Linked DNA regions of Elephas maximus indicus. The protein of the gene in region 2 purifies or fractionates together with the protein of the main gene of each other region. This does not show direct contact. Links are inferred from orthologs where the notes say so. Each region holds a gene or a part of one and is shown on either strand. Other genes may lie near its edges.

Evidence for each region.
Region 1: the proteins of ZNHIT2 (region 2) and AAR2 purify together in Homo sapiens (affinity purification with mass spectrometry; 3 studies listed by BioGRID and IntAct, counting the BioPlex papers as one, with this or other methods). This does not show direct contact. The link is inferred for Elephas maximus indicus from reciprocal best matches to the Homo sapiens genes ZNHIT2 and AAR2.
Region 3: the proteins of ZNHIT2 (region 2) and TSSC4 purify together in Homo sapiens (affinity purification with mass spectrometry; 3 studies listed by BioGRID and IntAct, counting the BioPlex papers as one, with this or other methods). This does not show direct contact. The link is inferred for Elephas maximus indicus from reciprocal best matches to the Homo sapiens genes ZNHIT2 and TSSC4.
Region 4: the proteins of ZNHIT2 (region 2) and ECD purify together in Homo sapiens (affinity purification with mass spectrometry; 3 studies listed by BioGRID and IntAct, counting the BioPlex papers as one, with this or other methods). This does not show direct contact. The link is inferred for Elephas maximus indicus from reciprocal best matches to the Homo sapiens genes ZNHIT2 and ECD.

Annotation. Positions count from the first base shown.
Region 1 is NC_064843.1:33,304,118-33,312,086, forward strand, and holds the start of AAR2 (protein AAR2 homolog), read right to left. Parts: upstream 3,002-7,969; 5' UTR 2,945-3,001; intron 234-2,944; 5' UTR 178-233; coding exon 1-177. UniProt on the Homo sapiens protein: Component of the U5 snRNP complex that is required for spliceosome assembly and for pre-mRNA splicing.
Region 2 is NC_064825.1:128,276,462-128,283,314, reverse strand, and holds ZNHIT2 (zinc finger HIT domain-containing protein 2), read left to right. Parts: upstream 1-4,854; 5' UTR 4,855-5,038; coding exon 5,039-6,253; 3' UTR 6,254-6,349; downstream 6,350-6,853. Other genes in the region: MRPL49 (39S ribosomal protein L49, mitochondrial), read right to left, coding at 797-874; FAU ubiquitin-like and ribosomal protein S30, read left to right, coding at 1,407-1,481, 1,574-1,718, 2,190-2,245, 2,408-2,533; delta(14)-sterol reductase TM7SF2, read right to left, coding at 6,667-6,827. UniProt on the Homo sapiens protein: May act as a bridging factor mediating the interaction between the R2TP/Prefoldin-like (R2TP/PFDL) complex and U5 small nuclear ribonucleoprotein (U5 snRNP).
Region 3 is NC_064825.1:135,486,228-135,493,965, forward strand, and holds the start of TSSC4 (protein TSSC4), read right to left. Parts: upstream 3,007-7,738; 5' UTR 656-3,006; exon of another isoform or gene 648-655; intron 76-647; exon of another isoform or gene 1-75. Other genes in the region: CD81 antigen, read right to left, coding at 3,616-3,678, 3,747-3,833, 4,432-4,533, 4,937-5,041, 5,376-5,450, 6,206-6,303. UniProt on the Homo sapiens protein: Protein associated with the U5 snRNP, during its maturation and its post-splicing recycling and which is required for spliceosomal tri-snRNP complex assembly in the nucleus.
Region 4 is NC_064834.1:14,311,328-14,318,368, reverse strand, and holds the start of ECD (protein ecdysoneless homolog), read right to left. Parts: upstream 3,019-7,041; 5' UTR 2,936-3,018; exon of another isoform or gene 2,770-2,935; intron 2,759-2,769; exon of another isoform or gene 2,605-2,758; intron 1-2,604. Other genes in the region: primary cilium assembly protein FAM149B1, read left to right, coding at 3,239-3,285. UniProt on the Homo sapiens protein: Regulator of p53/TP53 stability and function. Inhibits MDM2-mediated degradation of p53/TP53 possibly by cooperating in part with TXNIP. May be involved transcriptional regulation. In vitro has intrinsic transactivation activity enhanced by EP300.

The DNA.
Region 1 (7,969 bases), on a different chromosome or scaffold from region 2:
GTGGAGGAAGTGGATGCCTGGCGGGATCATCTTCACGCCCCGGAACTTGGGCCCCACCTCCCAGGAGTTGTAGTCAATGCCAAACTCTGTCCCCTTGGGCATGTTCAGGATAATCACAGTGGCCCCTTCAAAGAAGAGGCGCTTGGCAAGCTCAGGATCCATCTGCATGGCAGCCATGAGGCCAGTGGTGGGTGCCCAAAAGGAAAATCTTTCTTCCTTGTCTTCCAGAACAGCTGAAAAAGAAAGAAATCGGCGTTAAATACAACTTGGGGAAGGAAGCTGCATTTGCCAGGCAGTCTCTGTGCCAGACATTGAAGCAGATCCCTGACATAATAATCTCCTGTAATCCTCACCACAATCCCGCAGGCCAGAATCATGAGTCCCATTTGACAGATGAGAAAAGGAGGCTCAGAGAGAAGAGGCTTTTTGTGTTTTGGTTAAATGAGCAAGAACACTCACTTCACAGCTAGAAAGACATAGGTCAAAGAGAAGTGATATACTCATGGTCGCACAAGGATCCCAATTAGAACCTGGGTGGCCTGCCCTCCAGGCCAGTGTTCTTCTCCCTGCTCACTCCTAAGATCAACTCTCAGAGCTCTCTCTCACAACAGAGGCTGTTCCAAACTAGAACTCCGCCTAAAACCTATTGCTGGAGAGTCCCAGGAAAGTCGGAAAGGCTGATTAAATCAAGCACATACCCAGTTTTCCACAAACCTCTGGGAAGGCCCAGAAATTGATAGAAGGTTAACAATGAAGACACTATGTAAAGTGGGTACACAGCATCTAAAATCCACAAAAGGTTTGAGGAGTGGACAACTTTTCAATCACAAACTCCCCCTTCTCCTTTTACTCATTTTTTTAAAAAAAAAACCCTAAAGTCCAGGGAGTGAAACACCTTCCCAAAAGGACCAGTCAGTGGCAGCTCTGGATTACTTGCCCAGAATGGATTCAAGTGGTGAGGCTAGCCTAGGATCAATGTTCACAAGAAAGAGGGCTTAGAACGCTTATATTATCTACCTTTGAACTATCCACAAGGACATATTGATAAAACCTCTGTAAGCTCCAGCATGAGCTAATTTAAACCAAACAATTATCTAACCATCTAGTCCCAAGACACCTATCTATTCAACAAATGTTCACTGAGCGCTGCACTGTACCAGGATCTTTGCTGAACACTAAAAGGAAACATCCACAGAGTAAGACAGTCACTGCCCTCGAGGTACTTAAAATTTAGCTGGATGTATAACCAAGATCCTAAAATTTCAAACAGAACAAGCTGCCTGTTTAATCCTGTTTACTCTTTTTCCCCCTTAAAACAAACAAAACAAAATACAGTGGGGAAAAGAAGACCAACTCTTTTCTACAAACATCAAGGGCATATCCTACCTTCTTAACTCAAAACCCACTACAAATAACTCTCTCTAAATCTGCCTATTTTTCAAACTGCAGCTCACAACCCATTAAGGGGTTATGATATCAATTTAGAGCGTCCCAACCAACATTTTCTTTTAATGAAAAGAACAGAATAAAAAAAAAGATCAGCATCCATCAAAAGTAGTGAGAAGTACTTGTTTTCTGAAGTTCCGTGTGTGTGTGTGTACAGTTGGTTGCAACATAAAATTTATGTTACTGTAGGTCACAATCAAAAAAGTTTGAAAGTGACTGTTCTAAATAATTTGCATCTTCATTTTTCTATCCCCTACCCTTTTATAAAAGGCACTTAATAAATATTTGTTGAATGAACATATAGCTCACTTAGAAAAACTGCTGATCAATTAATTACCCATTTCACCTTGTGACATCTGTGTGTTCCTCCTTGACAATGACAATTTCTTTCATTCTAATTCCACCAGCCTGTAACTCTCCATATCTGCAGCAGCCAGCACATGGCCTGGCACAGAGGAGGTGCTGCGAAAGGTTCACTGAATATGCACAGAACTCTACAGCCTACCAATCAATCTCACTGACAGCCCTGTGAGCTCCTCTCAGCCCTGGAACACAGAAAATCATTTCTATTCACTTCCCTCCACCAGCTCCCTCATCACCACTAAGCCACCATCATCTCTCACCCTGAGAGTGCTCGCCCCTTCAATCCATTTTCCATACAACACCCTGAGTGACCTTTTCAAAATGCCAATCTGATCATATCACCACCCACATTTAAAACCCTCGGAGTGGCTTCCCAAGCAGTTCTTGGGAAAGCGAAATTCTCAGCATGAACTACAAAGCCTTCACACTCTGGCTCCTGGCAACCTCCCCAGCTTCCTTTCATACCACTTTCCCCTCAAGCTCTCTGTTCCAGCTACACTGGCCTCTTTCAGGCTCTCAAACAAGAGAGCAAAATGCTCTTCCCTCTCCTCTTTTCGGATCTCAGCTCTATAATCACCTCCTCAGTAAAGACCTCCGTGACCCCGCGGCTAGGTCAGGTATCCTGTGACAGACACTCAGGGCACCTCTACCTCTCCATTTCACTTCTCACGGTTGTTTGATAGAGCGCTGTCACTCCTACGAGTCCTTTTGTTCCCTGTATCCCTAGCACACATCAGACGCTTGATAAACGTTTAATAAAACTATGATCTCTATTTAGCGGACAAAAAACCAGGGCTCGGTGCGGGGAACAACCTTTCCCGAAGTCACACACAGAGCCGGGCAGAGCCAGGCCAGGCGCAGTCAAGATCTCCGGCCCCCGAACTCTAAAGCCAGGAGGAAAGCGGAGCTAACCCGTGCGCCCCAGGAAGCCCTGGCGGACCGCGTCTCTAAAGACGGCTACTCAGGTAAAAAGACCTCGGAGACCCCAGCGTCCCACAGCCCGGGAGGCTGCCGCCCCGGAGAGGTGGGCTTAGTTCAGGGCACTCCGCGGTCCCCGGGTCGGGAAGAGGGGATGCCCCGCGCCCGCAGACAACGAAAGCAGAGGAAGGAAAAGAAGCCAGGAAGCCGCACTCACCAGCTCCCGCCTCGCCCCAAGCTCCCGCACCGCGGAAGCGCACCGGAAGTTCGCTCGCTTCGGTGACGGACCGGAGCAACGGAGAAAGCGGCCCGGTGGAGTTCTCGGTGATGGAAAAACGGTGCCTGCTTGCAGGTTCCGCCCCATCAAATGTTTTTTGCTACTCTTAGCTACTCGTTTTTCTTCCTAAATTGTAGATTAAGAACTTTCACTAAACTGTGCATTTTATATCCCCCTCCCAAAACGCACCAGCCATAGTCCCTGGTTCTCAAGAAGTCAAGGTCGTTGAAACGGGGTCATGGTCATGGTTGCCCAGTAGTCACAGGGGTGCTCAGTCACAGTCCTAGTTAGCCGATCTGTGGTCCTGGTCAGCCAGTCTTTCTCCGAGTCACAGCGTCACAGCTGGCCTGTTACCACCCAATCTCAGTTACCATCCACACTCAGGCCTAAAGGAGAGCCTCAGAAACCCAGCTTCCAGCCCAAGGAAAACCAGTCTCAGCAGTTGGAGAAATCACCCAGTCAGTCCCTCCAGCCATAATCACCCAGCGTCCTCTGGCAGCACAGGCCTAGTCTGATATCTCAGGCAGGCTATCAAGGTGTCCTGAGGGAGGTTACCTGCCTGTCTTGTTCTCCATTGTTTTCCTGAGGCTTAGCACAGAGCCACGAAGGCTCAGCTGGGTACATATATTATGTATTTAATTAATAATAACAGTAATTTGGTGTTAATAAATGGCTTCCATTTGTGGGTCTAGCCCTCTGCTAGGTGGCTGCATCATTCAGGGATCTACCAGAGAAACAGAGCCAGTAGGAGATATACATTAAGAAATTTACTGGGAGAAATTTGCTTCTCCTGTTGTGAGGACTGGCTAGGCTAAATCTGAAATCTGTAGGGCAGGCCATCATGAAGAGCAGGCTATCAGCAAGGGCAGGGTGGAACCCTCTGGCACATGCCAAAGATGCCATCCACAGGCTGGATTTCTTCTTCAGGGAAGCCTCAGCTCTGTTTTTAAGGCCTTTCAACTGATTGTCTCAAGCCTGCCTGATTATCTAGGATAATCTCCCTTACTTAAAGTGAACTGATTATGGACTCCGATCACATTTACCAAATAACTTCACGACAACGCCTAGATTAGTATTTGATTGAATAACTGGGGCCTGTAGCCTAGCCAAGTTTACACATCACAAAAAACCCATCACAGTGGTGTACATATATTATCTAATCCCTACAACCATCCTGGGAAGTCGATCTTATCCCTGTAACTCAGACTTTATCCACTGTAACACATATGCAATCGAGTTGGCTTGAGCCAAACTTGTTCTCACCCTATATCCACCTTGAAATCAGTTTTAGCACACTATTGCATCCCACAAAGCCCAAATATGACTTCAAAGCGTGGAAAAATGTCAGTTTTACTTGCAATTTCAGGGAAAGTTGAAGAATCCCACACAGCAAAATGTCCCCTTCATTCTCCTATCAATATATTTACCCTTTCCTGAGAGTTTCCCTAGAGCAGCTAGCTACGTTGTACACTATTTTCTCCCCACTCCCACCCACCCATCTACTTTTTCTAGGTTTCCGCTTCCTCCTCAAAAATTCATCTGCTCAGAGTAAAATAAACTTGAACCAAACAGCATTCAACAAAGCCCACAACCACCCACTCTAGCATACCACAGGGAACAGGGTGTATGTGTGGGGCAGAGTATTGCCCAGTTCATCCCACTGCTCAGATATTATTTCTAATCCCTACACTACCCTGTTGTTGTTAGGTGTCACTGAGTGGATTTTAACTCATAGGGACTCCATGTGACAGAGCAGAACTGCCCCATAGGGTTTTCTAGGCTGTAATCTTTATGGGAAGGAACCCTGGTGGCACAATGATTAAGTGCTCAGCTGCTAACCAAAAGGTTGGCAGTCCAAACTCACCCAGTGGCTTTTCAGGAGAAAGACCTGGTGATCTGCTTCTGTAAGATTACAGCCAAGAAAACCTTAGGGGAGCAGTTCTACTCTGTCACATGGAGTCACTATGAGTCAGAATCAACTCGATGGCATCTAACAACAACAATCTTTATCCTAGTAAGTCAGTGTTAGTAGTCCCAATTTACAGAAGAGAAAAATGAGGTTCAGAGAGGTTACAAAGCTACGATGCAAGCCAAGGTTTGACTAGCTGTTCTTGTCTCGGTGCTGCTGCTCCTTCGCTTACCTGTCGCGCTTTCTTAGTGACAGCTGGCCACACCAATCTGTCTCAGTCAAAATCCATCCCTTAGTGGGTCGAAGACTAGACTGAGCCCTGCAGCCATGGTTAATCACCATGAGCTGCTGCAGGATTAACCAGAGACAGCCTCCATCAGTCACAGTCATGGTATCAATCTCAGCCTGTCATGTCAGTTCCATTTCCCGCATGAAGAAGCTTAGCTCCCTTCCTTCACACACAGCTCCCAGTCTTAGACACTGAATTCTGTGATCTGGTATCAAAGCTCTCTGTTCCAGGTGGGCTCAGCATCTTCTCAGAAACTCCAGGGTACTCAACACTGAAGCTGTAGACAGTGACCTCAGAATCCCACCCTGTGGGGAGCATGTCCATCTAGATAGATCACGGTTTCTCAACCTCAGCACTATTGACATTTGGGGCCACATAATTCCTTGCTGTGGGAGGCTGTCCTGTGCCTTTTAAGATGTTTAGCAGCATCCCTGGCCTCTACCCCCACATGCCAGTAGCACCCTTCAGTCATGACAACCAAAACTGCCTCCAGACATTTTCAAATATTCCCTGGGGGGCAAAATCGCCTCCCTTCCCCCAGTGGAGAACCACTGATCTACATGAACCTGCTTCAGATTATTCCCAATGAGCACAGAGGCCGGCTCTGTATTAATGGAAGACAGAGATACAGATACAGAGTGTGTGGGGTCCTGAAGAATTTTGTGGTGACCCCATGTTTGTGAACCCAATTCTGTTCCAGAACCTCAGGGGGTGACAGAGAGCTAAAGGAAACCTACAGGGAAAATGCAGGGAAGGGTTCACAAAGCTCCTAGCAGCAATTGTCTCCAGCCATGGAGGAGGGGAGGGTGATTCTGGAGAAGAGAATCCTGCATAGCCTTTTGTGTGATTTAATGAACTACCTTTTCAAAGAAATGAAATAGCATCTAGTATTTGGCATTATGGGGAAATACTCAGAATATAAGCAAAAGAAGCATTTAGAGTGGTATTCACAATGTGACTTCAACTCTGAAAAAACACGTGTGGTCCAAGAGACAAGTTCAGGTTTTACATGGATTATGATTTTTCAGTATTTTTATGAGGACTATCTTTCTTTGGAAACCCTGGTGGCATAGTGGTTAAGAGCTACGGCTGCTAACCAAAAAGTAAGCAGTTTGAATCCACCAGGTGCTCCTTGGAAACCCTATATCGCAGTTCTACTGTCCTATATAGGGTTGCTATGAGTTGGAATCGACTCAACAGCAATGGACTTGGTTTGGTACCTTTCTTTGGCAAGTGATACTAGTTTTCCATTTGTGGAAATAATATATTTTCCTTTTTAAATAAACTTGATTTTGAAATGAGCCAATTTAAAGAAAAAAGATAAGTCAATAATGGAACAGGTGACACAGGGCTATGATAACCTATGTGAAGGTGGTAGGCAAAGACTGACGTTGAGGGTTCCAGTGTACGTTACTCACCAGGCATCCTAGAAGGAGCTGCCTGTGTGTGTGGGGGGGGGGGGCGTTGCAGGAAGTGACTTCAGTGTAGGTGCTCTTCTTTGAGGAAGAGAAGCAGGACCACACTGTTCCTTCACACACCAAGCCCCTCCATGTCTTGGAACCTACGCTTTTATTGTTCCCAATGCCTAGAATGCTCTTACCCAAGTTCTTCACATCACTGGATTTTCTCTTCATTCAGGACAAAAATCACCTCCTCAGGTAGGCCGTCTCTGACCACCTAAAGTGTCCTCCTGTAGTGACCTATCCCCTCCCCTGTGTATTGCCCTCCAAGTGCTGAGCACCCTGTAACTTCCTTTGACGAAACAGCTTCTGTGTTTTGCTATTTCCTCCACTAGCCTGTGAGTTCCTGGAGGCCAGCAACTTCGACTTATTTGCTGTCGTATCTGCAGAGACTAACCCAAGACCTGGAACACACTGAGAGCTCTAAGTATGTGCTGAATCAAAGTGTTCTAAGTTTGGATGTCTCCATCTTAGTTTTAGCCCTTCCCACTATGCCACCTTGCACCAATAGCCAAAGTCAGAGATAGAGATGACAAGGCAGTTTGTGGTTCAGCATCAAACACATTTATTTCACTTTTATTGAGTATACAAGAACAGAGAGCACACGCATACAGCACAGAGCACTGAGGTGGGGGAGCGCTGGGACGAGAGAGGAGAGAGGGGTGTGAGTAAAGGAACAGGACAGCATCGCAGTTGGTTGGTAAGGTGCTTTTGAAAAAAAAAATTATTTAGAATGATGTTGCTCATGCAATTTCAGGCCAGTCTTGGAATGTGGTTGCAGGATTAAAAAACTGAAACAGGTCCTGGCACTTCTTATACCCTCCCAATGGAAAAGATCCCGAGAAAGCAAAGTAAGAGAAAATGACGATCTGGAGGATGGCAGAGTGGGAAAAGCCCCTGGTGAGCATCTGGTTCAACTTGCTCATTTTGTGAGTGGGGAAACTGAGGCCTAAAAACAGGAAGCGGTTGGTCCGATGTCACAAGGTGAGTTAGAGGCTGAGCCAGGATGGCCACTCCTTACTGCCCACGGGGGATTTTTCCACTTAGCCTCCTGGGTGGAGAGGCAGTACAGAAAGGATGAGAAGCGTAAAAGACAAAAAAGGAAAAGTAGGTTGAAGACAGACAAGTGTCTATGTTCTCTCTGAAGAGGAGGATGGGAAGGAAACAGTGCCCTAGATTTGGCTTTGCCACTCCTCTCCTCTGGTGGCGCTACCTGCCTCTCTGTGGAAGGAAGGTCACAGAACTCGTAGGATGAAAGCTTCCCAAACCCTGGTTACCTCGTCCCTACCCTGAAGTCACACTCTCAG
Region 2 (6,853 bases):
CTTTACAGGCATTGTTTTCACTTAATTCTTTCAACTCGGCAAGTAAGACATTTTATTACCCCTTTTTACATCCAAGAAAGATCAAGGCATTTAGAAAACAAAAACTAACACTACCTAAGGTGACACTAGGGAGTCCTGGTAGAGCAGTGGTTAAGCACTCGTTGCTAACCTAAATGTGAGTGGTTTGAACCCACCAGCAGCTCCTCGGGAGAAAGATACGGCAGTCGGCTTCCTTAAAGACGACAACCTTGGAAACACTATGGGCAAGTTCTACTCTGTCCTATAGGGTCGTTATGGGTCGGAATCGACCCGACTTAATGGCAATGATTTTGGTTTTGATTTTAAGGTCACACCCCAGAGTTCGTCCTCCCATCCTTTCAGCCCAAAGATCCTTTTGGATACTTCTCCCAACAGATACCCTGGAGTCCTGACAGGCCAGGGGGGTTACAACACAGCAGGGAAGCAGGATAAAGTGGCCTGTGTACCAAGAGCCGTAAGTTCCCAGAAGTGTCACTATTGATCTGGGGCCGGCTCCTACCCTATGGAACGGTTTCCCCTTCGAAAGCCTGGGCAGTTCTGACTAACCCGGTCTGCCCTCCTGCCTGGTTCCAGTCTCCACGCTCTCGAAGCCAAGCTCCAGGCCCCGTAACCTTCCTTCTCGATCCTGCACCTAAGTTCCAGTCAACTGTCCCCAGTCAGACAAGAAAACTAAGACCGTGAGGGTTGCTGCAATTTTAAGTTTACAATGAACAACAGTGAGCCTCACACCCAAACCTCCGCCCTCGGCCTCTCTCACCAGGTACCGTAGCCCGCAGCTCGGCTGGACGCCGGTTCTCCAGCCCCACAGGGCAGCCCGGAACAGGACCGCTGCCATCTTGGCCTGCCACCAACGCTAGCCTCCTGCGCGCGCAACTCGCCTGGCCCCGCCCCTTCCTGCGCGCGCAGCCTGGGACTGGAAAAATGCCTCAAGGGGGCGGGGCCAGGACCGCCCTGGGCAGCATAAACGCCAGGGTAACGCGGAGTCGCTCAGCAGTGACGTGACACGCAGCAGACGGTGAGGACGTGCGCGCCCTGGCTCCTTCCTCTTTTTCGGCTCCATCTTTGCCGTAGCGGCAGCAGGGGCAACATTTCAGGTAAGACTTGGGTCACGGCTGGATACAGAGGGCATAGTGGCGGGCTGGCTGCGAGTTTAGCGGGCGCGGGGGAAATGGAGGAACAGGGCTCCCCTGTGGGCCTGGCTCCGGGTCCCACCGGGCCTCCCCGGTAGGCCCGGCCTGCCCCACGTGAAGCCTCCGGCCACCTCCGTCCCGGCTCAGTCCTATGGGACCCGACACCCATTTCCCGACCCGCTCCCCTCTAGAGCGTGTTTTCCTTTTTTCTTACAATCTTATTTCTTAGTCGCCGTCATGCAGCTCTTCGTTCGCGCCCAGGAGTTACACACCCTCGAGGTGACTGGCCAGGAGACAGTCGCCCACATCAAGGTAAGGCTGTGTGATTTTTCCTGGACTCAGTATTTGTGCTCCTCGCATCCACCCGCCGCGGGAACACTTACGAACCTCATTTTTCCCTGTAGGCTCATGTAGCGTCGCTGGAGGGCATCTCCCCGGAAGATCAGGTCGTTCTTCTGGCAGGCACACCCCTAGAGGATGAGGCCACCCTGGGCCATTGTGGAGTGGAGGCCCTGACCACTCTCGAAATAGCTGGCCGCATGCTTGGAGGTGAGTTGGGGAGGAGTGGCTGTTGAACTACCTGTAAGCTGTTAATGGGCATTGAGTGTGTAGTTCTTGAAGCTTAGTGTCATTTTTGTGGCAACGTAGATGGTGTCATTTCTAGTGAGTATTCCTGTTTGCCTCCCTTAATTGAAACAGTAGAGAGGTTCACGGGAGACGGAGCCAGAGTGTAGTTTTAGGTCAATCACTTATCAGAGCTTTGTCTGAATCTCAATTTTCCCACGAAAATCAGGTCAGACCAGATTTCTAAGCCACCTTCCGGTTCACCTTTAAAATCAGGGGCTGGGAAATTCTGACATGAAACCCCAGAATGTGCCACATCAGCACATCTTTGGTCAGAGATCAAATTTCTACACTGTCCTTATTTTCTTTGGGCCCAGCTTGCTGCTTAAGGCCTGGGTTGAGGGAGGAGGAGTTCTTGCTCTCCTAATTGTTTGCCGTCTGTGTTTTCCATCACAGGCAAAGTCCATGGCTCTCTGGCTCGTGCTGGGAAAGTGAGAGGTCAGACTCCCAAGGTAAGTAAGAGTGTCCTTTGGGGTTTGTTGTCTGCTGTCACGGCTAAGCCAAGGCCTTTGACTCTTGCCCTGTGTGCCTTCTCTCTCCGGGAAGATGAGGCCAAGGAAAAGGGTTCCTCAGAAGATGTCAACCAGGGTCTGATCAGTCCTCTCCTTTTATAGGTGGCTAAACAGGAGAAGAAAAAGAAGAAGACTGGTCGGGCCAAGCGGCGGATGCAGTACAACCGGCGCTTTGTCAATGTTGTACCCACCTTTGGCAAGAAGAAGGGCCCTAATGCCAATTCTTAAGTCCTTTATAATCGTGGCCTGCTCTAATAAAGCCCTTTAGCCCAGCAATGTCATTGCTTTATCTTCATTTGCAGGGCCTCAGGGGAGGCATGGTTCCTAGGGCTAGTTGGTGGTGCGTCTTCTAGCAGAGCAGTGAGGCCTTGTTTCTTGGAGGTGTTGAGTTAGGAAAAGGTAGAAGCTCTTGGTCTGGTGAAAAGAAGTGATAAACTGCAAGAGAAAGCTTTGTGTGAGGAGCAGTAACCACAACTGTCAGCCCTTCAGATGTAGAGCTGGGAAACCCCAGATCCCACATAATTTAGTAATTCTTCCAAGCACTGGTTTCTTTCTATTTTTAACAGAGAAGGAATCATTGTGGTGGGAGGTGTGTTAAGAGGCAGCAGCGGAGGGTAGAAAATTGGGAAACACTGATCTGGCCTTTCCTTGAAGTTGAGTTCAGCTGTGGGCTTGGTAGAGTCCAAGGAGGAAGCTAGTCTGCCTCAGCTTTGGAAAGCTTGGTATTTTGCTTGATGCCACTGGCACCCTGGCGATGGGTGCTCTTGTTTGAGCCTCTGATTGGCTCACTGGCGTAGCTAATCTACTCAGCCGTCTTTGGGTAGCTGACTATTTCAGTGTTCCAGAAGCGGAGCTCCTTTGGGGCTGAATCAGGGTTCCCTCTGGCAGCTGAGGCTCCAGTGCATCAGTACCCACTCGTTCGTTCAGCTACGTTTTTGAATCTGCTGACTCTTGGGTTACAGCATACCAGGATACGATGGTGACTTTGGACTCTGGATTTGGACTGCCTGAGTGATTCTGGCTCTACTTCCTGTCTGACCTTGAACCAACTACACATTTAATCTCTCCAGAGTTGCTGTGAGGATTAAATAAAAGATGTAAAGTGCTTAGATCAGTACCTAGTATAGTATAAGTGCAAATATTGGCTATTTTTGTCTTTAGTGATTAAGATTTAAAAAAAAAAAAGATTCTCTGCCATCTAGGACCTTAGATTCTTGTGGAGAAAATGGCAACAAAATAGACGTTAATAGTCTCAAAGAAAGTAAGCAGTCTGCTACGATGAAATGAAAGGTATCTCTAGAGAAGGTCTCTGAAGATGGGATGTGTGAGCCAATCAAGTGATGAAATGGGGAAAGAGTTGCAGCCAAGAGAACCCTGCAAAGGCAGGGACAAGTGATGTCTGGGAGAGGGTGGCTAACCCTGCAGGGCCTTGTCAGTCAGAGGAGTCTGGCATTCAACTGCAGTAGGAGGCCATGGGGAACGGTTCCAGGCAAGGGACTGATGTGATCTGAGTTGTGATCTATTATTTTTTCTGATTTCCTGAAGGGCTTGCAAGAGAGTTAAGAAACCAGGTAAGGGGTTGACATCCAAGTGAAGGGGCAGCTTAGACCTCCAGTGGACTTGGTGTTGAAATAGATGACCCATATCCTGATAAATGCCAGTTCTTTTGGAGACAACTGGTGAGTGGGATCGGGTGTGCGGTAAGAGAGGAGAGGACCAGGATTCACTATTAGGCACGCCATGGGTCAGGTCTTCCAGCGCTTGGCAGAGTTCTTGGCAGTTCATCACCCCGACTCCCCTGTAAGCTCCATTACGACAGGAGCCCCATCTCATTTTGCTCCCCATTGTATTCTTGCTGCCCAGTATGGATGGCATTTAATAACCACAGCTGGGTGAACGACTGTGATATTCAATGAGAAGACAAAAGACGACGCAAGTTTAGAGAAAATCAAACGAGCTCAGACGTTTGTTAAATGTTGCTTTTTGCTAAAGAAGGGAGATGCCCCCAACGCATTCAGGCTGGGCTCAGGTGCCCCATCTGGGCCTGTCCTCTAGAACTGCCCCTTTGTATGCCTTAGAGTGGCCGCATCTCATCTTAATCTCCCATAGGCCTGGCACAATTAATGGCCCAGAGTAGATGCTTAGCAAAGCTTGGTTTTGGCCACAGCACTTTATAGGATTACGAGGGTAACCAAAAAAATCAAAACCATCGCCATTGAGTTGATTCCGAATCATAGCGACCCTAAGGGACAGAGAAGAACTGCTCCAATACGGTTTCCAAGGAGCGGCTGGTGGATTTGAACTACCGACCTTTTGGTTAGCCTTCGCTCTTAACTACTGAACCACCAGGGCTCCATTACAAGGGTAAAATAATTTGTATTTTTAGGCAATTTGGGGGCCACGTTTCGGCGCAACCACTAGGTGGCGAACTGGCAGCTGCGAATCCCGCCGAGCGTGTTTTCCTCTCCAAGCATTGCCGTAAAGGGCGGGGCTCCTCTGGGGCCCCGGGCGGGGCTCGTACGGTACGCCCGGCTTCTGCGCTTGCCCAAACGCCGCCAGAGCGAGGGGTGCGGGTTGGCTCCCGAGTGTGGGCGGGAATTGCCGAGAGTCCTCGGGTGAGCTTTGGCTAAGCGCTCCCTCGCCCCCGCAGAAGCGGAAGTAACCGAAGAAGCGCCGGAAGTTACCGAGCTATCGCCCTTGTGCGCTCACCTGTGGGTCGTGGCGCCAGTTGCCATGGAGCCGGCCGGGCCCTGTGGCTTCTGCCCAGTAGGGGAGGCTCAGCCAGCGCGCTACACCTGCCCGCGCTGTAATGTGCCCTACTGTTCGCTGCGCTGCTACCGGGCACATGGCACCTGCGCCGAAGACTTCTACCGCGACCAGGTGCTGGGCGAGCTCCGCGGCCGCACCGCCTCGCCCAGCCGCCTGGCAAGCGCCCTACGCCGCCTGCGCCAGCAACGCGAGACCGAGGATGAGCCCGAGGAAGTAGGCCTCAGCCCTGGGCCGGCGCCTGGCGGCCTCTCAGGTCTCTGGGAGCGGCTGACCCCGGCGGAGAAGGCGGCCTTCGAGCGGTTGCTGAGCCGGGGCGAGGCCGGGCGGCTGCTGCCCCCGTGGCAGCCGTGGTGGTGGGCCCGCGGGGCCGAGCCGCGGCTTCTGGAGGAGCTGGATGACGCGCCCGGCAGTGACGCCGCGGAGCTGGGGCCCGCTCTGGCGAGGACCCCGCCGGAGTCCGCGAAGGATGCTGCCACCGCCGCGGAGCCCGAGGCCGCTGAGCCTGTTCTCAAAGACGCATCCGGGGCGGGGGCGCCCTCCGTTCCCGCCCGCATCCCCGCGCTGGCCACCCTGAGCCGCGGCCCGGCCTCGCCGCTCGTGCGCTTCCAGTTGCCCAATGTGCTGTTCGCCTACGCGCACGCCCTCGCCCTCTATCACGGCGGCGACGATGCGCTGCTCTCCGACTTCTGTGCCACGCTGCTCGGCGTTTCTGGGGCCCTGGGCGTCCAGCAAGTCTTCGCCTCTGCAGAGGAAGCCCTGCTGGCGGCAGTCCACGTGCTGGAGGCGGGTGAGCACCCGCCCGGGCCCCTGGGCACACGCGGAGCCATGCATGAGGCCACCCGCATCCTGCTGGGCGAGGGCCCGGCCAACCAGAAGGGTTACACGCTGGCAGCACTAGGGCACCTGGCACAGCTTCTGGGCCGGGCCCGGAAACGGGCCATGGCTGCGGAAGAGCGGGATCGCCTGTACCGGGCACGGAAGAAGTGCCAGTTCCTGCTGGCCTGGACCAACGAAAATGAGGCGGCCCTCACACCCCTAGCCCTAGACTGCGCCAGGGCTCACCGAGCCCATGCCTTGGCAGCCGAGGAGATGACAGCCCTCACCGGGGAGATGGAGCGCCTCTGGGGAGGCCCCATGCCACCTGCTCCGAGGACTCTCATTGAGGAGCTCCCTGGTTGAACTGAAGACCTTTTGTCGTTAATAAAGCTGTGACAGGTCTGCCCTGTTGCCCCGCCTAACTCTACACTTTTGGACCCACAAACCACATCAGTCTTTCCCTAATCAAAGCTGAGCCAGCCAGTTGTAAACACCCCAGCCCCAGGATGGGAAAGAAGCCACACCGAGGGTTCCAGACATTTATCTAAAGTGGAAGAGCAGTCCTGTCCCCGCTGCTCTGTCTTTTGGGCACTGGCTCCGTTTTTTTCCTTGCTCCAAACCAACTCTTCTCTGAGGCTGTTTGTCCCCACCTCCCCTGGCTACTGATGGAGCTCAGAGAGGTGCAGGCCTTTGAGTCCAGGTGTGTCCAGGCTCTTGATGCTGGGTGTGCTGGTGGATGGTGGGCACGTGCCCTGACCTGGAGTAGGTGTGCCACCTCAGTAGATGTAGGGCACTATGCGGTAGGGCACACACTGGCAGTACTCACGCCAGGCCAGGCCGTACTTCTGCAAGCACTGCCGCTCGTCACGCGCCTCCCGGTGCACCAGCAGCGCCGTAAAGTAGAGGAGGTAGAAGTAGGGCAGCAAGTGGGAAGCCCCTGTAGAGAGGGTGGGCTCTGTGACC
Region 3 (7,738 bases), about 7.2 Mb from region 2:
TTCAGGAGAGAGAGGGTTTTAGAGCTAGCAGGGCCAGAGCGGATATAATTTGCCCAAGTCGAAGCTAGAATTCCAACGAACCTGTTGCTTTCCGAATTCGCACTCTACCCTGCACCACCTTAAGTCACTAAGCAGCCTGTTCCGTGGGGCACGCAGCGGGTGCGTGGGGGACACAGTGACCGGGCCCCACGATAGGGAACTAGGAGGCCCGGGAGTCGCTTCTTGGACTCAAGGCCTCGGGTTCCTTCAGGGGCTCAGCGGAGGGCAGAGCTGGGTCCCGGCGGAGCTGAGGCGCGGGGGTGTCCCAGGCCCGGATCAGCGCAGACCAGGTCCCAGGGACCGGGAGCATCGGTTCCTTCCTGCTTGTCTGTCTCCGCCTTGAAGGCAGAGCCTGGCCTTACACCGCTCTACGCGCCCAGCGCCTCGCCCTGTGCCTGACACTCAATAAGCTCTCGGCGGCGGGGAACCAATCAAAGATCCTCGCGTGCCAGGGCCGGGGGGATGGGCCCCGGGTCCAGGCCTCAGAAGGCTCGGGGTCCCGAGGGCCAGGCCACGAAAAGACGGGGGAAACCGAGACGTCGGGCTGGGTACCGGGATGCAGGCTGCGGCTAGCGGCCACCCGAAGGCCTCCCCGACCCCAAACCTACCAGCTCACCGTTGCCCGGATGCCTCCATCTTGGTCGCGCCGCCTGCCGGGACGCCGCGCTCGGCCCTCTGGGAAACCGAGTCCTCCGCCGGCCAGGGGCCGCCGCCTCTGCATGCAGAGAACTACAACTCCCACGAGGCACTGGGTCCCTGCTCCCGAGGCCTGCCGGGACATGTAGGCCTGTGCGGGCATGTGTCTCAGCCAGATCGCCACTCCCCTGCACTAGGGGCTGGCTTATGATAGCCCGGAGGCCCCAGGGCTTATTTGAAAAAAAAAAAAAAACCGGAAATGGCTAAGGAGAAAAGGGAGGGAGGCCCCCGGATGCAGCTCCCAGAATGCTTGAAAGCCAGCGGCCAGTGCTGGGTTCCCGGGGCCCAGCGCCACCTGCCGGCACCCCCGAGGACTGCGGCGGCCTCAGGCCGGAAGCGGGTTCTGGCGCTCCAAGGACACATAGCCACTCCCCGGGCACTTCCGGCCCTGGCCGGAAGCAATGCGTTGCCTTTCCTTCCATCTGTCGGTCAGTGCCGACCAAGGCGCCCCTGCAGCGTCCCAGCGGCCGGCCCCACCCCGCCCCACCGGAGTCCCCAGATTCTCCAGGCGGGCCCCCGCAGTCACGCAGCCCCAGGTCAAGACCAGGGTCTCGACCTATGAGGGCTGAGGGGGCATCTTGGAAACGGGGCTCCGCGCACGTGGGGGCTGCAGGCGCGCCAGCCTCTCCCCTAGTCCCCATGGCAACACTTCGTACCTGCTCCCTGGGGACCTTCCTGGGCCCTGCCCAGGGACAGGGCTGTGATTTACCTCTAGGGTGTTTCCCCAGGGACAAGGACACAGCTGTTCCCTCCCCGTGTGCCCTAACCATTGTGTGCGCCGTACCTGAGATGGGGAGGCACTAATGGTGGCCCCCCCGTCTCCCGAGGCCACTGCTGTGGTCGTGGAGAGGTGTGGCTTAGGAGGAGGCTTGGAGGGAGCACCCCTGGGTGGGGAAGCCAAGGCTGCCTCTGCCCTGACTACATCCTTCCAGGGTCAGCGCCCATCCGGGGGCCCTGGGTGCCACTGACCCACTGGGAGCCGGAGCCCATGAGGCCTGGGAGGGCTGGGCAAGGAGAGGAGGGGAACCGAGTGCTTCGCTCCCTCCACTTCCAAGTCAGCCAGGACTGGTGGGCCCCGGGGAAAGTATGTGCTCCAAGAGCAGGCACCAGAGGGCAGCAGCAGGCTTGGGAGCTGACAGCCTAGTCCTTCTCACTGGCCTAAGGCAGGTCACGCCTCCCTGCCTGGTAAGGGAGGACGAGGTCCCAGGTTCTCTAGCTCAGCCACTTCTCTCTCGGCCCCCAGGCTTGTAGGTGGGCGGTGCTTTTGCCCCTTCTCTATGGGGGCACCTGTCCCACATTCTTGAGGTGCCTCTGCTGGGAAACCAAGGGTTCAAGGAGCTGCCCAGCCCAGAAGCACAAAGAGGGGAAGCTGGGCCCCTACCTCAGCCCCTGGTCTCCAGTAAACCTCGGGTCACCTCGTAACACTCCACCTCCCCCCACCCCCAGCCTCACCAGGAACCCACTGTGGGTCACTGCCATGCAGAAGGCAGGCTCCAGGCCCCTGCGCTGCAGCCTTGGGCGGATGTACCTGTGGGCCCCACAGCACAGCAGAAGCAGAGAGGATGGACTCCATGGACCTTCCTGTACCTGAACCCTACAGCCCAGGTGTGCAAGGTGCAGGCCCTCTGAGACCCTTTAACCTCCCCGTGCAGGGCTGGGGTTGAGTTCCAGAGCCAGTCCAAGGAGACTGCTGGGCTGTCACAAGGGGTTAGTTTAGCGTGTGCGCAGGTGGGTGCCACCCTAACTCCAGGTGATGTTGCCCAGCATCCCTGACAAAGCAGCCTGTCCGAGGAGAAGTCCCATCCCAAAGCTCTCCGTGCCGGGATGGGCGGTGGCTAGCCAGGTGGGTCTGCATAATGCTCACCGACTAGAAGAGCTTGGACTAAGGGTAGAGATCCAGGTGGGTCCCAGCGCACCCTGGTGGGCCACTTCACTGGGTTCCCCCATTGGCTGCTGAGCCCTTCCCAAACCAGACCTGCCCTAGCCACTGGCTCCTCCAACAAAGGTTCACAAGCACCCAAATGGGCGGGAAGGAAGGAAGGAAGGAAGGGGAAGAACCAGCAGTCCTGGTGTCCACCAAACCCTTCATAGCCCAGCCAGACAGTGGGCCTGGCATGGCCACAGCTGAGGCACTCACAGGATGGGCGGAAACCCAAGGCCTGGGCGGCGTCAGAAATGGTGAGGAGGGTGCCCCGCAGGAGTGGGGCACACATCCTCCGCCACATCTCCCCGCTGCCCCCACTCGGGGCACTCTGCCCAGGCTCGGTGCAAGGAAGGAGGGGCGCTACGGCCTACCGAGGGGGCACATCCCTGTGGCGTGCTCCCGGGCCCACTGCCCACCCCCGTGTGGCCCAGGAAGGGAGTCTGAGCCGTGCTAGCATGCCTGGTTTTTCCTTCTTTACTGAGTGACTGTTGTGACTGGAGATGACGTAATTACAGCTGGGGGTGACATGTTAGAAAGGAGCGCTGCCGTGGAGCTAAGAGCTCAAACGCTGCTCTAGAAACAGTCAGAGGAGGGGGAGTCAGGGCTACAAAAGGTGCGGGCTGACGGGTGGGGCAGGGCTGCGGCCCCTCAGCTTGCAGGGTCAGGCCCCAGGGCCAGGCAGGCTCCCTCCCTGGTCCTCAGAGCAGAGGAGCCTCACGGGCCCTGCCCTGCAACCCCAGGCCGCCGGTCCACTCCCACGTCACCCACGAGGGCCACCAGCCCTGGAAAGGTGGCAAGGGCTTGAGAACAAAAAGGAGACCTGGGAAACGAAAAGGCTGAGTGCACAGAGCAATACCGGGGACGCTATGTACACGGCACAGAGTAATACCGGGGACGCTGTGCACACGGCTGGCCGCCTCCGGGGACGCTGTGCACATGGCCGGCCGCTTCCAGCCTCAGTATACAGGGCTGTTGCGGATTCCACAGCACAGGACCATGCTTAGGATCATCTCGAAGATCTGCGGGGGAGAGGGGACGTGAGGCATGGCACAGGTGCTGGGCACCACCCCCCGAGGCCCCAGCTCACCATGATCACGGCGACCACGATGGCTGCGATACCAATCAGGTACAGCTTCCCAGAAAAGAGGTCGTCGATCTTCTGGTGGCAGTCCTCCTGCAAGGACAGACAGCAGGCGGGCTCAGGGTCCCCCTCAAGTTTCGCGTGACAGTCAGGCAACACAGAAAACGCACAGAGGACCTGGTACCATGGCTCTCCCAGCCCACCCTGGCCAGCCGGCACTCTCAGCACAGGTTAGCTCTTAACTGGTTACTGTGGCATCCACTCCGATGCACGGTGACGACCTGTGTGTCAGATTGGAACTGTGCTCCACAGGGTTTTCAGTGGCTGGTTTTTCAAAAGTAGATCCCCAGGCCAAGGACACTTGGTTCAAATCACTTCCGCATAGCTGAGTGCTACCACAGGTTGCTGAGGCCCCCAAGGGCCACCTCCGGCCTCAACCACAAGCATGGGCAGCCAAACACCAATCCCACCAGGCCACTCGACACCCTGGGCCTCAGACAACCTCACCTGGACTGCAAGCGATGGTGCCCCTCTTCGGTCAGTTCTGTGACCCCAGCAAGCCCGGCCCCGGCAGAGTGGTCCTCTCCCTGCTGGCCATGGCCCCAGGATGGGCACAACCTGCCCTATGCGTGCCCACCATTGCCCAGCTCCACCCCATGGCAAGCCCCAAGCCCCGGCCACCACTGCACACCTTGAAGACGTTGCTGAGGAAGGTGCTGCCTGAGGGACACAGGCTGTTCTTGGTCAGCGAAGTGGCCAGTGTGGTCAGTGTATTGGAACCACAGCAGTTCAGCTGCAGAGAACAGGGCAGCTTTAGTCAGGCTGGCAGGGGGCTTGAGGAGCACTGGCCAGGGGCCCGGATGGCCACAGAAGAGTGTCCCCACTCCCACCCCACAGTGCATCCTGCCGGGCTGCGGCCACCCCACAGGCTTGTTCTGCTCCTCCTAAGGTAACTGAGCCCCGAGATGGCCACCTGCAGTGTGCTGCTCAGAGACCTGGCTTACCCACTCCCACCCAGGGACCTAGAGGACAGAGAGGAGCAGCCTCCCCAAGGCCCACAGAGGAAAACGCCCAGGCTGCCCCTGCCCCTACCCCTGGAAGATTAGAGCTCCTGGGGCCCATGTGCACCCATACAGCCCAGCCCTGCAAGCCCCATGGGTCCCATACCCACCCCCTCAGACCCCCAGCAGCCGCACCGTCTCATGGAAGGTCTTCACCACGGCCTTGGCATTGCTGGCTTCATCGTCCAGCACGGCCTGCTGCAGGGCCTGGTCGTAAAACTGCTTCACGTCCTTGGCGATCTGCAGGGAGGACAAGCAGGCTAGGGGGTCACCAGAGCAGAGCCTACCTCCTCAGGTGGACAAGTGTGCTCACCTGACACACCTTAGGAAGGCGGGGTCCCCAAGATACATGGCGGGGGGGGGGGTCCTATCTTAGCTGGCCCCAGCTCAGGCCCAGTGTCGCTGCTTCCAGGAAGCCCTCCTGGACCTTACTAACATAACGGGGGGGAGCCCCAAGGTACACCCGCCATCTGTGGGTGAGGCTGGACCATCCCCCACACTCTGAACAGGGGCCATTCCTCCCCCCAGCATCCCCAGGTTGGGATGAGGACCTCACCTGGTGGGCCTGGCTCACCTGGTCCTTGTTGACAAAGCCCCAGATGCCGGCAGCCACTTCACAGGCAAACAGGATCACCAGGCAGGTGAAGAACTGGGGGGCCGCATGAGGGCGGGATGGGAGGAGGGAGTGGGCAGAGGAAGCAGTAAGTTAGTCTGGGGGCTCTTCCTGGGGCCCCAGGCCACCAGGCAGCATGGGGTTTGCCTTTTCGAGATGCAGCCACCCAAGTGACCAGCAGGATGGGAGGCGGGGGTAATCACCAAATCACCGTGTCCCAGGCGGCGTGAGCCATGAGGCCTAGTCATGAGCAAAACCTAGGACTCAGCCCAGGAACAAGATGCCAGAGCCGCATCCTCCCAACCCCCGATTCCAGAGCTCTGATGGTGGGTGGGGGCGGTGTGCTCCCCAGGCCCCTCCACCGCACCACCTGGTGGGCACGAGAGCAAGCGTGCCTAGTGAGCCCCAACACAGAGGGGCTGCCACGTCATGCCTCAGTCTCCCCTAGCGGAGACACTGGTACAGGCTCCCCAGCACACTGCCAGCCTCACCCCCTACCCGGCCAAGGGGAAAGGGGCCACCAGGCCAGAGGGGAGCAGGGCGGGGACTCTCTCCCTGTTGTGTTTGTGGCTTTTCTTAAACAAAGGAAGAGAGAGCCACTTTGGGGCTTAGAATCAGGATAAAGAGATAATGGTTTATCTAAGAGCCAACTGGAAAGTTCAGAGCCGGCCAGCCCCTCCACCAGGTGAGGGGAGGGGAGGGAGGGGGCGGACGTGCCTGAGCTCTACCAGGGCCACCTCCTCCCGGGTGCCTCCCCCTCCAGCCCAGGACCAGCAGGGACCCCACCTTACCGTTCCCAGCAGGCACTGTGACTCCTGGATGGCCCCATAGCAGCCCAGGAAACCCACAAACATCATCACAGCGCCCACAGCGATGAGGATGTAGATGCCTGGGGGTCGGGGGGTGGTTATATCACAGCACCTCGCTGCTCTGCCCTCATGCCCTCCCAGGCCCCCCCAGACCTTCTGTGCACAGCACTCTCCAATGCCGGGGTCCCACAGCCCCCGGCCCCTGCAGGAAGGGGGAGGAAGCGGATGGGCAGAGCAGTGAGGACCTGGTGCTGGTTCTGCCCAGGCATGTGGGCGTCCTCTCCTGCCTGTTTTCTATGAGAGGGGCAGGGCCACCTGTTGAGGACCACACAGGCCACCACGGGACAGACTGAACTTGTTCCTGTCCACAGTATGTACGTGAAGACCTGCCTACCTCAGTGCCCACCCACTGACCCCCACGCCAGCTCACTGCCCCGGGAGGTGCTGACTGCATCTCCCCAGTGACCGCCCCCCGAGATCAGCCCAACAGGCTCGGATTGTCTGCAGTGGTCACAGCAACACTGGCAGCAGCTCACGTCACCCTCGGTGGGACGGGGTCTATTGTCCACCACCAGGCCCAGAAAAGGCCGACCCTGGGCCACCTCAGTCTTCCCCCAATCTGGCCGGCCATTTCCTGTTGGCACTCTGCAGAGGGGAGAAGACTCAGCCCCTCCGTCAGGCTCTCCTGTCCTTGGCCCTGCACCAGCTCCACATGTGAGGTGACGCGAAGACCCCTGGCCCCCGCCACCACATCACTAGGGGAGGTTCACCAGGGTGACCCGGGGCAGCCAGAAACCATGCACACCAGGGGGTCTTGGCTTTCTTGGGTCCTACCAGGGGACTAGAGGCCCCCTCCTCAGGGTCTCTGGGAGACTCAGGTTGGTCAAGGGGCCACTCAAGGCCCCTCCTGAGGCTCCACTGGCAGATCCTACTGACAGCCCCCCAGAGCCCCCAGGCTCCAGTCGGAAGCCCGAGGACGACACTGAGATTCAGTCTGGCCCTGCCCCCTGGGGAAGGTGGCGGGGGCAAGCTCACCCTGCCAGCCAGCCCCACCTCCCAGCAGAGAACAAAGAGCCCTTGTCAGGGATCCCATCTGCTCCCCACCCCCTGCAGGGCCCTCCGGCACTGGGCAGGATCCTGGGCCAGAGGGGCTCTGAGTACCCCCAACTGGGGGGTCCAGCCTCTACAGCTGATTCATGTGGGGTCCAGGCCCTGAGAGGTCACACCAACAGGTGGGGGAGGTCGTAGCAGGCTGGGAGTCGGGTCCAGAAGGCAGGTGAGGTGCATAGCCTGAAGGAGGGCTGGGAGTCTGGGCGGGGGGAGGGGGGAGGCATGCTAAAGACCCTCCCAGGACCTGCTGTCCAGGCCTTCTCTGTCCGCCCTTAATGCCCTGTGCCAGCCAGGCCCGGGAGCCAGTGCAGAGCTATGGGCTGCCCAGAGACTGGGGGTGGGGCGGGGTCTCCCTACTGATAAGGGTCCACCTGACAGATGAGCACCGAGGCCCAGGGAACCACG
Region 4 (7,041 bases), on a different chromosome or scaffold from region 2:
CTGGTTTACTGAGAGGTGGGTGTTGTTGTTGTTAAGTTGCTGTGCAGGTCTTTTGCAGCAGATGCCCCCAGTGCAATACGTCATTTGATTTCGTGACTGCTGTTTCCACAGCGTTGACTGTGGATCCAAGTAAAGTGAAATGCTTGAACACTTCAGTCTTTTCTCTGTTTATCATGATGTTGCTTATCGGTCCAGTTGTGAGGATTTTTGTTTTATATTGAGGTATAATCAATACTAAAGGCTGTGGTCTTTGATCTTCATCAATGAGTGCTTCAAGTCCTCTCCACTGTCAGCAAGGTTGTGTCATCTGGGCAAACGCAGGTTGTTAATGAGTCTTCTTCCAATCCTGATGCCCTGCTCCTCTTCATATAGTCCAGCTTTTGGGTTTATCTGCTCATGATATAGGTTGAAGAGGTATGGTGAAAGGATACAACTTTGACGCACACCTTTCCCAAATTTAAACCACACGGTATCCTCTTGTTCTGTTCCAACGACTCACTCTTGGTCTATGCACAGGATCTGCATCAGTACAATGAAGTGTTCCGGAATTCTCATTCTTCACAATGTTATCCATAATTTGTTATGATCCACACAGTTGAATGCCTTTGCATAGTCAATAAAACACAGGTAAACACCTTTCTGGTATTCCCTGCTTTCAGCCAGGATCCACCTGATATCAGCAATGACATCCCTCATTCCATATCCTCTTCTGAACCCAGCTTGAATTTCTGGCAGTTTCCTGTGTTTGAACTATCTTCAGCAAAATTTTACTTGCATATGCTATCAGTGATATTGTTTGGTAATTTCCACACTCTGTTAGCTCACCTTTCTTTGGAATGGGCACAAATATGAATCTCTTCCAGTCTGATGCCAGGTAGCTGTCTTCCAAATTTCTTGGCATAGATGAGTGAGCACTTCCAGCACTGCATCAGTTTGTTGAAACATCTCAATTGGTATTTCGTCAATTCCTGCAGCCTTGTTTTTTGCCAATGCCTTTAGTGTAGCTTGAACTTCTTCCCTCAATATCATCATCATTTCTTAACCATATGCTACTTCCTGAAATGGCTCATCGTCAACCAATTTTTCTAGTATGGTGACTGTGTATTTCTTCCATTTTCTTTTGATGTTTACTGTGTCGTTCTACACTTTCCCCACAGAATCCTTCAATACTGCAGCCCAACGCGTGAATTTCTCCATTGGTTCTTTCAGCTTGAAAAATACCGAGCATGTTCTTCCCTTCTTGTTTTCTAACTCCAGGTCTTTGCACATTTCATTATTATACTTTATTTTGTCTTCCTGAGCTACCCTCTGAAGTCTTCCGTTCAGCTATTTTACATGATCATTTCTTCCATTCGCTTCAGGTACTCTATATTGAACAGCAAGTTGCAGAGTCTCTTTGACATCCATTTTGTTTTTTTCTTTCTTTCTTGTCTTTTTAATGACCTTTTGCTTTCTTTAGGAGCCCTGATGGCGCACTGGTTAAGAGCTTGGCTGCTAACCAAAAGGTTGGCAGTTCAAATCCACCAGCCATTCTTTGGAACCCTATGGGCCAGTTCTACTTTGTCCTATACAATCACTTTGAGTCAGAATTGACTTGATGGCAATGGGTTTTGTTTTTTTCTTTCTTTATGTATGATGGCCTCGATGTTACCTTACAACTTGTCTGATATTCAGTCATTAGTGTTCAATGTATCAAATCTATTCTTGAGATGGTCTCTAAATTCAGGTGGGACATACTCAAGGTTGTAATTTAGTTCTTCTGGACTTGTTTTAATTTTCTTCAGCGTCATCTTGAACTTGCATATGAGCAACTGATGGTCTGTTGCACAGTTGGCCCCTGGCCTTGTTCTGAGTGATGATATTCAGCTTCTTCATCACCTCTTTCTGAAGATGTAGTCTATTTGATTCCTGTGTATTCCATCTGGTGAGGTCCACACGTATAGTCGCCATTTATGTTGGAAAAAAAAAGTCACCGCTCTTCAAAAATTCTATCATGCACTCTCTGGCATCCATTCTATTGCCTTGGCCATATTTTCCAGCTACCGAGCCTTTTTTGTTTCCAACTTTCGCATTCAATCATCAGTAATTATCAACGCAACTTGACTGCGTATTTGATCAATTTCAGACTGCAAAAGTTAGTAAAAATCTTCTATTTCTTCATCTTTGGCATTAGTGGTTGGTGCAAGAGGTGGTAGATACCTATTTTCTAAGGTTTTCTAAGGTTTCAGTTACAAATGAAAGTACTAACATACCTCTGGAACTCATTATTTCCCAAAGGGGTAGAGGGAAAATACAGGTTCAAAGTGTGGTTAGAAAAATTCACAAACAAGCACTACATCATGAAGTAGGTGAAAGCAGTGACACTCCGCACTTCCAAGGGGAGATGCTTGTTAAAGTAAGGCACTACACAGGATGGACCACCCTAATGCCGCGATTCAGTGATTATACTTCACTAACGACTAATGAGAGGAGGTCGACAGCAACCTGCACCTTTTATCCAGACATCCACTCAACATAGTCTGTCCAAGTCATTTTGCCTTTCAACCCAGAAGGACAGGTAATAATTCCACCCACCTTACCTCTACCCCCTTACGCCAAGCGTACCTTATTATAAGGGGTTTTAAGATCACCCAGGCTAACTCCACACCATACAGATGAGAAAAACGGAAGCAAAGAAAGGAAAGGCACTAATAGAGCTCAGGGCTTTCTGCCGCCGGAACCAGGAGGATCCCTCCCGCCACCCGACAAAACCGAGTTAATGCCTCTTACGGCTCCACGCCCTCTCGGGCGCCTCTTTGCTGATGCACCGTTCCTCCGCCGCTCCTCCCACCGCGTGAGAACACCGTTCAGAAGCTGCTACGGCGAAGTCTGCGTTTTGCAGCGCCACCAGCTGCCAACGCCGGGTCCGATCTCCGTCCCAAAGCCCGTCTAGTACCTGAGGCCAGTGGACGGTCTAGGAGACAGTCACAAACCCTCTCAGCCTCCGGAACCGCCGAGCCTTGTCACCGCCGCACGTCGACGGGAGCATTTGGCAGGTGCCCTGACTCGTTCGTCACTTCCGCCCCCCGCGGGAAGACGGGAGGGCGGTGAACTGGAAAGGGGGCGGTCTTGGGGGGCGACGGGGCGAGACGGGGGCGGAAGGTGGCGGGAGGGGGCCGGGCCGGAGCCGGCGGGAGGGCCAGGCCCGGAGGCCCCCACCCTGGCGTGCCCGCCCCGGGCGCGGCTGAAGAAGAGGAGGATGATCTCCAGGTACACTCGGAAGGCGGCGCCACAGAGCTTGGAACTGTGAGTCGACTGCTCAGCCACCTCCACCGGGCCCGGGGAGGCCGACGCCGGCCGCGGGCGCTCCGGGGCCCCTCTCTGACCAGTCCTTTCCTTGCCCAGGGCGGGGGTAAGGACATTTTCTCGCCTCCCGGCCTTGCGCTGACCCTCCTACCTCGAGCTCCAGCTGAGGGTTGTCACCTGTGCTGTCTGTCCTTGGACTTGGCTCTCTTGGGACCGGGACCCTAAGGCCTTTGTGGTTTCCTCAGCCCTTCAGGCCCCACTGTCAGTGGCCATTGACAGCTCGAGAAGTTATCAATAACTGAGTGCTGCAATAGAATTTTGCCAGGCACCGTGCTAATCTGTTTACACGCATTTGGTCGCTTAATCCTCTCTACAAGGATATAGAGACTATTATTTTGCACATTCTCTCTCTCTACATATATTTTTTATAGATAAAGATCCCAGATTTAAAGATTTTAGTCTGCCAAAGATACAGGCAACAAGTGTCAGGAGCTGAGGTACAGCCTGGTGTCCATCAGATTCTGAAGCCTGTGGTCATAACCATTAAACATCTTGCTCCCTCACTTCTGAAGTTAAGCTGCTTTTATGCTTTAGAGAACAAATATTTCTGACTTACATCCCACTCCAAGTGAAGTGTTGTAACTTAGCAAGTATTGGTAATATACTTATTAATGTTTTACACTTTCAGAAGAACTTTCAAGTTTTGATTTTCATAACAACTCTGTAAGACAGGTACAATTATCTTCATATTTTCAGAAGACGGTATGTATTAGAAAAGTTAATATATCAACAGGGAACTGCCAGAAATTCAGGCTGGTTTCAGAAGAGGATGTGGAACCAGGGATATCATTGCTGATGTCAGATGGATCCTGGCTGAAAGCAGAGAATACCAGAAAGATGTTCACCTGTGTTTTGTTGACTATGCAAAGGCATTTGACTGTGTGGATCATAACAAACTATGGATAACATTGTGAAGAATGGGAATTCCAGAACACTTAATTGTACTCATGAGGAACCTTTACATAGATCAAGAGGCAGTTGTTCGGACAGAACAAGGGGATACTGATTGGCTTAAAATCAGGAAAGGTGTGTGTCAGGGTTGTATTCTTTCACCATACCTATTCGATCTGTATGCTGAGCAGATAATATGAGAAGCTGGACTATATGAAGAAGAATGGGGCATCAGGATTGGAGGAAGACTCATTAACAACCTGCGTTATGCAGATGACACAACCTTGCTTGCTGAAAGTGAAGAGGACTTGAAGCACTTACTAATGAAGATGAAAGACCACAGCCTTCAGTATGGATTACACCTCAACATAAAACAAAAGTCTCCACAACTGGACCAATGAGCAACATGACGATAAACGGAGAAAAGACTGAAGTTGTCAAGGATTTCATTTTACTTGGATCCACAATCAACAGCCATGGAAGCAGCAGTCAAGAAATCAAAAGACGCATTGCATTGGGTAAATCTGCTGCAAAGGACCTCTTCAAAGTGTTGAAAAGCAAAGATGTCACCCTGAAGACTAAGGTGCGCCTGACCCAAGCCATGGTATTTTCAGTTGCATCATATACATGTGAAAGTTGGACAATGAATAAGGAAGACCAAAGAAGAATTGACACCTTTGAATTGTGGTGTGGGCGAAGAATATTGGATATACCATGGACTGCCAAAAGAACGAACAAATCTGTCTTAGAAGAAGTACAGCCAGAATGCTCCTTAGAGGCAAGGATGGCAAGACTGCGTCTTACATACTTTGGACATGTTGTCAGGAGGAATCAGCCCCTGGAGAAGGACATCATGCTTGGCAAAGTACAGGGTCAGCGGAAAAGAGGAAGACCCTCAACGAGGTGGATTGGCACAGTGGCTGCAACAATGAGCTCAAGCATAACAATGCTTGTAAGGATGGCTCAGGACCGGGCAGTGTTTCGTTCTGTTGTGCATAGGGTCGCTATGAGTCGGAACCAACTCAATGGCACCTAACAACAACAACAACATACAACTTGTTATGGATTGAATTCTGTCCCCCCACAAAATATATGTTGTAAATTCTAACCTGTATGCCGGTGGTTATAGTCCCATTTGGGAATTGGTTGTCTTTGTTATATTAATGAACTGGTTAGCGTAGGGTGTATCTTGAGTCCTTCTCTTTTGAGATATAAAAGAGATTAAATGCAAGCTAGCAAGCCAAGATAGGGGAAGAGAGATGCCAGGCCACATGAAGATTGCCCAAGAGTAGAAGCTCAGAAGAGAGAAGGACCTTCCTCCAGAGTCAACAGAGGGAGAAGGCTTTCTCCTAGAGCTGGCACCATGAATTTGGACTTCTATCCTCCTAAACTGTGAGAAAATATAATCAAGGTTATGTAGCCAGTAGAGTTAGGATTTGAACTTGGCCTTTTTAACTCTAAATCCATTTTTTTTCTTCACTGTGCTAAGTAATACATTTATTAATTAAATACTAACTGTACATAGTAATCACGAACATGGTACTTTGAGTCACACCTGGCTTTCTGGCTAGGCTATTTTCTATCTGTGTGACTTTTAGGCACATTACTAAATCGCCAAGCCTTGATTTCTGTAACATAGAAGTAATACCTATTTCATAGCAAAGTCTATGTAAAGTGATGACACAGGGCTGGACCATAAATGGCCATATCCTTATCCTCACTCACCTTTACTAACTACAATACTAAATAAAGACAATCTAAGACAAGATTCCTCCTTGCCTTTCAGAAACTTATTAAGCAATAGGATATGCATACAGTAGCAATTCAAATAGTAAGTTCTTTAGAAACTAGGGAGAAGTAATCATTTCCCAATAAAGTGAACAGGGCTTAGCTAAAAAACGTCTGTTTTTGTAATTAATTCCCACTATTCTGAGGGTGGAGGAGCCCTGGTGGAGCAGTGCTTAAGTGCTCTGCTGCTAACAGGAAGGTCAGTTGCTGGAACCTGCCCGCTACTTGGCAGAAAAAGGTGGCAGTTGGCTTCCGTAAAGATTACATCCTTGGAAGCCCTTTGGGGCAGTTCTACTCTGTCCTATAGAGTCACTATGAGTTGAAATCAAGTCAACAGCAATGAGTTTGATTTTGGTATCCTGAGAGTAAGATAAACTACCAAATGGAAAAAAAAAGTTGTTAGGTGCCGTCAAATTGGTTCTGACTCATGGCGATTCTGTGTACAACAGAATGAGACACTGCCCAGTTATACGCCATCCTCACAATCATTGTTATGCTTGTGCCTTTTGTTGCAGCCACTGTGTCAGTCCATCTCATTGAGGGTCTTCCTCTTTTTTGATGACCGTCATCTTTACCAAGCATGATGTACTTCTCCAGGGACATCTTGCTTGGTAACATGTCCAAAGTATGTGAGATGAAGTCTTGCCATCCTCGATTCTAAAGAGTATTCTGGCTGTACTTCTCCCAAGACAGATTTGTTTGTTCTTTTGGCAGTCCATGCTATAGTCGACATTCTTCACCAACACCATAACTCAGAGGCGTCAATTCTTCTTTGGTCTTCTTATTCATTGTCCAGCTCTTGCATGTATATGAGGCGATTGAAGGCACCATGGCTTGCGTCAGGCACAACTTAGTCCTTAAAGTGACATCTTTTCTTTTTAACACCTTAAGGAGGTCTTTTGCAGCAGATTTGCCCAATGCAGTAATTTCTTGACTGCTGCTCCCGTGGGTGTTGATTGTGGATCCAAGTAAAATGAAATCATTGACAACTTCAATCTTTTCTCCATTTATCATGAC